Coturnix japonica: one gene and its partner. The protein of the gene in region 2 interacts with the protein of the main gene of each other region in a pairwise test. Links are inferred from orthologs where the notes say so. Each region holds a gene or a part of one and is shown on either strand. Other genes may lie near its edges.

Evidence for each region. The genes of interacting proteins can lie anywhere in the genome.
Region 1: the proteins of regulator of G-protein signaling 19-like (region 2) and GNAI2 interact in a two-hybrid assay, tested with the Homo sapiens proteins (2 studies listed by BioGRID and IntAct). The link is inferred for Coturnix japonica from reciprocal best matches to the Homo sapiens genes RGS19 and GNAI2.

The regions. Positions count from the first base shown.
Region 1 is NC_029527.1:2,011,799-2,015,447, forward strand, and holds part of GNAI2 (guanine nucleotide-binding protein G(i) subunit alpha-2), read right to left. Parts: intron 1,150-3,649; coding exon 1,107-1,149; intron 728-1,106; coding exon 586-727; intron 283-585; coding exon 122-282; intron 1-121. UniProt on the Homo sapiens protein: Guanine nucleotide-binding proteins (G proteins) are involved as modulators or transducers in various transmembrane signaling systems.
Region 2 is NC_029535.1:8,388,157-8,391,840, forward strand, and holds the start of regulator of G-protein signaling 19-like, read left to right. Parts: upstream 1-822; 5' UTR 823-978; intron 979-3,684. UniProt on the Homo sapiens protein: Inhibits signal transduction by increasing the GTPase activity of G protein alpha subunits thereby driving them into their inactive GDP-bound form. Binds to G-alpha subfamily 1 members, with the order G(i)a3 > G(i)a1 > G(o)a >> G(z)a/G(i)a2.

The DNA of each region.
Region 1 (3,649 bases), on a different chromosome or scaffold from region 2:
GAATGCAGCTTGGATGCTGCACACCTGGGGGAGAGCTGCCCCGACCCTAACATCACAGAACAGCTCCATAGCACAGCGACAGGTTGAGGAGGAGGAGGAGGCTGAGGAGGAAGGTACTCACTAGGCAGCAGAGTCATTCAGCTGGTATTCACGGGAGCGATTGAAGCAGGCCTGGACCCCATGGTCAGCCCACAGCCTGCGGATGACGTTGGCGAGGTCTTCAGGCATGATGCCCTGCTCCTCTGCAGTGCAGGCGAGAGCAAAGAGCTGGCGGGCATCATCCTGCAGCAGAACCAGGCATCAGTTCCACGAGCCCCAGGGATCCCCACCAACCCATCATAGATGCCCATAGGCAAAAAACAAAACAAAACAAACCACAGGAATGGTAAAAAATCACCCCTCCTATGCCAGGAAATGCACAGCTGTCCTCCCCATTCCCACCACTTGTACTTTGGGTTTTCCCTGCCTTAGGGGGTCCTGGAGTAGCAGAAGGGATTGGGCAGGGCCACCGGAGCCCTGGTTCTGCTTTGGAAGGCCCTGCTCCCAGAAGGGATGTGGGCACAGCAGGCTCACAGGGACACTCACCGCTCTGGAGGAGTCCCCAAAGTCGATCTGCAGGTTTCCCATAGCCTTGATGATGGCCATGATGGACTGGATGGTGTTGCTGTAGACCACGGCTTTGTACTGCCTGCACTCCTCCTCCGAGTAGCCATCCTCATGGATGATCCTGGGGACAGGGGGCAGGGTCAGCATGCCCGGCCCACAGTGACACCAGCCACGCTGCCACCTCCCCGTCAGGTGTTTGCTTTCACCATGTCTCACTGCTGCCGGAGTAACCGCAGGCACCCGAGCTCACCTCCCCTTCCACTGCCAGCCAATGTAATATTCATGCCCTGGAGAGCACCCAGCCTGGAGGAGCTGGGCAGCAGGGACATGGGGGCACATGGGACAGCAGAAATCCCATTGGGAGCATCCCAGCCTTTCTCAAGGCACTTTTAGCCACCACGGCACCGTCCTGAGCATCCCCAGAGCCCGACCCCGGTGTCACTGTGCCCAGATGACCCCAGCATCGCTGCAGGGACAGGGCAGGTCCTTGTGCTACTCACTTCATCTGTTTGACGATGGTGCTCTTCCCGGACTCCCCAGCACCTGTGGAAGACATAAGGCACAAGCCATGAGCTACATCCCAGGGCTACCGCTGGAGAGACCCCCATGGGGTGCACTGGGACCCTCAGTGCTCCTGCAGCTAAAACAGCCCCCAGGGAGGAGCCCAGAAAGCTGAGACGTCTCCACTGAACAGTCCAAGGGACCCAGCAGATCTAACCCCTTTTTCAGGGTGATTATTTCCAGCACAGAGTGAAGCACAGCACAGAAGTAGCACTGCCACCAAAGGGGTTTCCATTGACCAGAGCAGGGTTTGGTTTAACCCCGCTGGGTTAAACCCAATGGATTTCTAAAGCAGCAGGTGGGGACAGAGCCCAGAGCAGTGCCACAGCACCCAGGGGGTTCTGCACAGCTGGGAAAAACCCAGACAGCTTGAGCAATGTGTCAGTGCTGTTGGCAGTGCTGCTGTCACCCCAAGCATTGGGGATGTGCCACTCTGGCAGGCTGTGTGCGTCTGTTGCTCCCTCCCTCCCTCCCCATTCTGGGAGGGAGGAAGGAGTGAGGTCACCCGGCTGCAGAAAGGGGAAGCTGAAAGGGGAAGCTCAGAGGGACACTGCCCATCCCTTGTCCCTTCTCTGCACAGGGACAACAGCCTGGAGCAAACCCTCATCGCAGGAGCCCCAAGCAGTGCTGTTTGGGGGTGCCACATCCCAAAGCACAGCACTTGGTGCATTCTCTCTCATCCATCCCTGCGGTCTCTCTTTCTTTGGCCACCCTCCATGCCAGCCCTGTCCCCCCTGACCCACACAGCACCATGGGGGTGTCAGACAGTCCCCACATGCCCAAGGTGTGAGCACTGCCACATCCCTAAAGCAGAGCCACCCTTACAGGGGGCCCCAGGCAGCTCATGGCAGGGGTGCTGCGCTCCAGCCAGAGAAGGGGAAGAGGAGCTCAAAAAAATGGAGATTATGCTAAAATTAACCTGCAAGAGCACAGCCTGAGGTTGCAGCCAAAGCACAAAGGGACATCACCATCTGTGCTGGGACTCCAGGTACCCCATGGAAGCAGCAAGGGTCACAGCCCTGTGTCCTCCAGGCAGGGCGTCCCCCTGCCCACAGGCTGGGCCAGGAGGAGCTGCACAGCCCAGGCAGGACCCTGCATCCACCCGCAGCATCTTTCTCTGGTTATGGGACTCGGTGGATGACACATGTTTCTCATTTGGCCCAAAATATATGATTTGGCTGGAACCTCGCAGGCTTGACCCGACGGAAATAAAACTGCGCTCGGCTCGGCTCGGTGGATCGGGTTTCTTGCTTTCTTTCCACCCAGAGCTTCCCCTGGCTCCTTTGGAAAAGGAGCCCTGCAGCCAGCCACGCCACGCGGAAAATTGCTGCTCACAGCGGGGACGGAGCTTGGCCCCACAGAACCAGAACTGCACAAAGGGCACCGAGAGCCACTGCAGTGCCACCTCCACCTGGCTGGGCACAATCCACACTGACCCTGAGCATCTCCAAAGCGTATCCCTGCCCGGCACATCATCCCAGTCCACAGAGCTACCCCTATAGCTCCCCCCCCACTCTGCTGGCCCTATGGCACTGTTAATGGGGTGCAGGCATGACCCCGAGCCCGCTGTGGGAGCCCATGCCGGGAGGAGTGTGGGCGCACACGTGCGGAGCCGCGGCCTCCAAACCCGGCGTTGAGTCACAGTAGCTGCAGGGAAGGCATTTTTTCCTTTCGTAATCCCTGTTCAGCAGGAGTGCTCCGGTACCTCATTAACTCTAATAACCCCAGCCGGAGCGGTGCCACCCCACAGCACCCGCAGCAGCAGATCACAGCACAGCTGGGCAGTGACGTGGCACAGGCACAGCCCTTGGGCACGTGCAGAAGCTGGGAGTGCAGCCACCAGGCTGCCATGCCATCTCTTCCAAATCCGTTCCTTTGCCTCACGACCAGCCCAATAGGCCACTGGAGCGGTCACTGGTGGCACAGGGATGTGAGTAATGGGAGACGGAAGCCACGTGGTGCTCAGGGAAGCCAGCAAGCCATATAGAGGGGACAGGGATGGGGACAACCATATGGTGAGGGGAAGCTCCCAATCCCCGGAACACACCGGCTGCCGGCCATTCAGCCCCGACACAATCCATAGGCTGAGTGCCAGGCAGCACACGCTTCCGGAGCAGGGCAGCTTCCCACTGCTGGGCAGGACAGAGCGCTTCAGGGCTGGGGTTGTGGCTCTGCACCCCAAAGCATCGCTCCCATCTGTCCCACAGGGCCAGGTCCCAATGGGCACAGAGCCCAGGGCCCCAGGGATGCAGCCATGGTTGTTCCCAGAGCATACTACAAAAACAGGAAACAATCACCATCATCCACGAGGGGACAGGGATGGGTGAGGAGGGATGGGGTCAGCAGGGACAGTCCCAAGGCACCAGCTACGTCCCAGCCACCAAATGGGGTTTTCAAAGCACTGCACCAATAGCTGGGTGAAAACCACCCAGAATAAAGGGGGGTGAGGAGGAAAGAGGGGACTCCACATTTTCCTTCCTAT
Region 2 (3,684 bases):
AAAGCAGGAAAAAATAGGCAAATCCAACAAGGAAGGTGTTGAAATGGCAGGAGATGCACACGCAGGAGAAGAGCTCTCTGCTCTGAGATGCTGCTTGCATGGGATGGGGCCACGTTCAGTGTTTGCAGCTCAGCAAAGGCCCTGTTCTCAATGCTTCCCCCCATATTAGCAGAGTGCACGTCCCAGGGATTGAAATAAGCAGCGGTTCGATCGTCGTTTCTCCCAGGGAAATGGGTTTTAATGAGGTTTTAAATAATAAAATGGGATAATTTCCCCGCCTGGCGAGAACATGAAATTTTTATGCCTCCTTTTCTCTCCCAAAGTTTTATCGCCCTTTGTCTTTAGCAACGCACAACCCCCCTGTAATTAATAATAACAAAGTGATTTAGGGAAACTCAGTCTGTTCCCAGCAGCCCCAATGAGCAGGGGATGCCTCCAGCTCCTTCCCTTCCCCAGGCACTTGGGGAAAGCCTCAATGAGGAGCAGAGTTGGGGCATTTCCCCCCTTGTGCCCCCATAGAGATGGTCTGGGGGTGATGCTGGGGGTGATGCTGGTTTGGGGTGCCAGTGCTGGGTGTGAGATCTCAATGTGTGTGTGCAGTGCTGGGTTGTGAAGGTGCTGGGTGCACAGTGCTGGTGCAAGATCCTGTACGTGGTGCAGGACGCAGCTTGGGTTTGGGTGCAGGTGCCGGTGACAGCAGCTCTGGGTGCCGGTGTAGTGCACGGGACCGGGCTCTGTGTGCGTGTATGTGTGTGTGTGTGTGTGTGTTTTGACGTGAGGAAGTGCCAAAGCTGCAATTGCTTTAGGAAGTCAATCGCAGGGGCCGGGGGACGCGTGCGCAGTGCAGCCGCTCGGCTCCGCTCCTCTCCCGTTGCCTCTCCCTCTCCCTCCGGTGCCGAACCCGGGGGCAGCGCACGGGCGGCGGCCGTGGGCACGGGGCAGCGGACGGAGCTGCTCGACGGCGCGGATGCCTGACCCGTGAGTACCCCACAGCCCGGCCCGGGGGATGCCGGGGGCTGGGGCGGGGATGGGAAGGGAGGGGAGGGGGGGGGAGGACACAGACCAGCCACCCCCGTGTATTGCCCGGCCCGCCCCCCCCCGCATGCTGCAGCCGGACCCTATTCGCATCCCCATCCTTGTCACGCTCCCCCTTCCGCCCCTACGTGCGCGCTCCCCCCTGCACGCACCCTCCTTTTGCACGATCCCCCTTTTCTCCATGATTTCCCTCTTCTCCCCCCCCTCCTCCTCCCCTTTCCAACGCATCCCCCCCTTTCTGTGCATCCTCCCCCTTTTTCCTCCTCCCTTCTCCGGGCACACACAGTGAGCACCGCGGGGCGCTGATGGAAAGGGAGGGCTGCGTCCGTGTGTCCGTGTGTCACCGCCTGACACCGGCCCCGTGCGCGATGCTCGGCGGGGCGGGGGCACGGAGCACACCGGGCCTGGGGGGGGGATTCCCTTCTCGTCGCCTCTCATCCCCTTCCTCCCCATCGCCCCCGAGCCCCTACGAGGAGGAGGAGGATGGAGGAGGAAGGCGGGGGCCCCCTCTCGCCGCAGGGATGGCTGCGCCCGGGTCTTGCCCAACCCAGGGGCAGGGCTGTTTTGTGGTCATCCCCCAGGGCCAGCTCTGCATCCACAGGTGTGCAGAGCTGGAGCATCCTCTGTGGGATGCGGGGTCCCCTTTGTGCTCCCTGCAGCCGGGGGTGCCGTACCCCACCAGCAGCCCTGACCTCGATGTGGCATGGGAAGGTTGGCTGAAGTCAGGGTGAGCCTGAGCTCCGGCCATCATCGGGTCCTCCAGCACCAGGCAGGGGGATCTGGTGACTTCATGACCAGAGGACCCGGTGACCGGGATGTGGCTCCCCCGTAGGGACACAGCATCATCTATCTGTCGCCCAACACGAGCCCATCACGTGGGCTTGGCAGCTTGGCTGAGGGATGGAGAGGGCCAACAGCATCCCTGGGCACAGCGAGGATCCCCCGGGAAGCTCCCTCCCTCCCTCCCTCCCCATGAGGCTGCTCTGGCGCGGATCCATGGCCTTATTTAAGAAACTCAACAAAAAGTGTTAAGTGAGTGGGAGGGATTTCCCCGCTGCAAGGAGAGTTGATTCCCCTCTGGATGCAGCTCCACCATCCCGGTGCTCTCAGTGCCTGCTGTCCCAGTGGATGTGTTGTGCATTGGGTTGCCCCTGTGGGCACGTACCTCAGGATACATCCCAGGGGACAGAGCCACATCAGATTTCCCTACAAGGATTTCAAGCTCCTCCGCCTCAGCCCTTCCCCACAAATGACTCAAAGCCGCTAATCAAAATACAGTCGTGTTCTTCAGCAATTAAACAAACTCTACCTCTGAAGAATTACAGTGGGGAAGCAGAGGTTTGGTGACTCGGACGTGCATCATTCGGGGTCTGTGTGCCATCCCTCAGCCATGTTGGTGGGGGTCTGTGCTTCCCCTGGGTGGTTTCTTGCAGTGAACCCCAGCAGCAGGGCTGATAACGGGGTGCAGCTCTGTGCTGAGATCGTGGCCGCTTCCGTGTTGCCCCGTGCCCACTGCTGCTTCCTATTACTCAGTTCCTTCTTCGTCTCTGCACGTCTCTGCATTTCCATCGCAAAGGCTTGTTTGGAGGGGGTGGGTCTAAAGGCATTTGGTTCTGTGTGTTATTTAATAGCTACTTCTTCATTCGAGGGGGAGAAATTGGATGTTGCTCCCTGTTCTTGTAACGATTCTCACCCAATGGAGAGGACGGTGCATGGTATCCCACGCTGCTGCAGGAGGGGAAAGTGCTGAGCTCTCACACTGTTGCAACCTGGACCTGGCAGCTGCTCTATGGGGGACGTCACCATCCCCACTCCAGCTCCATGGCACTCAGCCTTGTGGGCATCTCGTCCATTGCTGGGCACTCCATCAGCTCTCCCAGCCCATTTCCAGCAGTGTCCACTCCATTCATTCTGGTTTTGCTTTGCCACATGTTGGCCATGCCACAACCCCTCGTGTTCCCTTCTCTACCATCACTGATGGGCACTGGAGTGGTGCTGATCTGCCTGTTCTCCATTCTCTCCCCCTGCAATCCCAGGGATCCCAATCTCTCTCCCATCCAGCTCCATGCACTCATGCATTTTGCTGGAGAGCCGTGTTGCAGTGAGCACATTTCCAGCAGGCTGTGGTGGGGCTGTTGGGCTGCGGGGGGTGCTCAGAAAGTCTCCAATCCCTTGCAGCAGTGGCAGAACAGAGTTGCCTTATCGAGATCTCCAGCAGGGATGGGATGCCTTCAGTCCAGCTGTGCATGCATTGCTGCAGCTGCATGGCTGGTGCATGGCTGGGGGCAGCTGTGTTCATGCCATCCCTTGTGCTGGCAGCCGTGCACCAGGGGATGCAGCATTCAATGGCTTTGGGGTATAAATGCAGCTCAGACCAAAGCCAGGCTCATGGTGCACCCAAGGGTGTGGGGAGGAACACGAGGGGCAGCCCCAGAGCTGTTACTGTCCCACACAGTGTCTTGCCTTTGGTTTAGCCCTGGTGAAGCAGCAGAGTCAAGGAGAACAATGGAATCCTATGGGCTTCAGCATCGATATTCATCACAGGCATGAAAAAAAAAGGGGGGAATTCCTGACAGAGGGAAATACAGAGGGTAGGATTTCCAAACAAGCTGCACTTCCAGTTCTCTGAGCAGCCCAGGAAACAGTCTC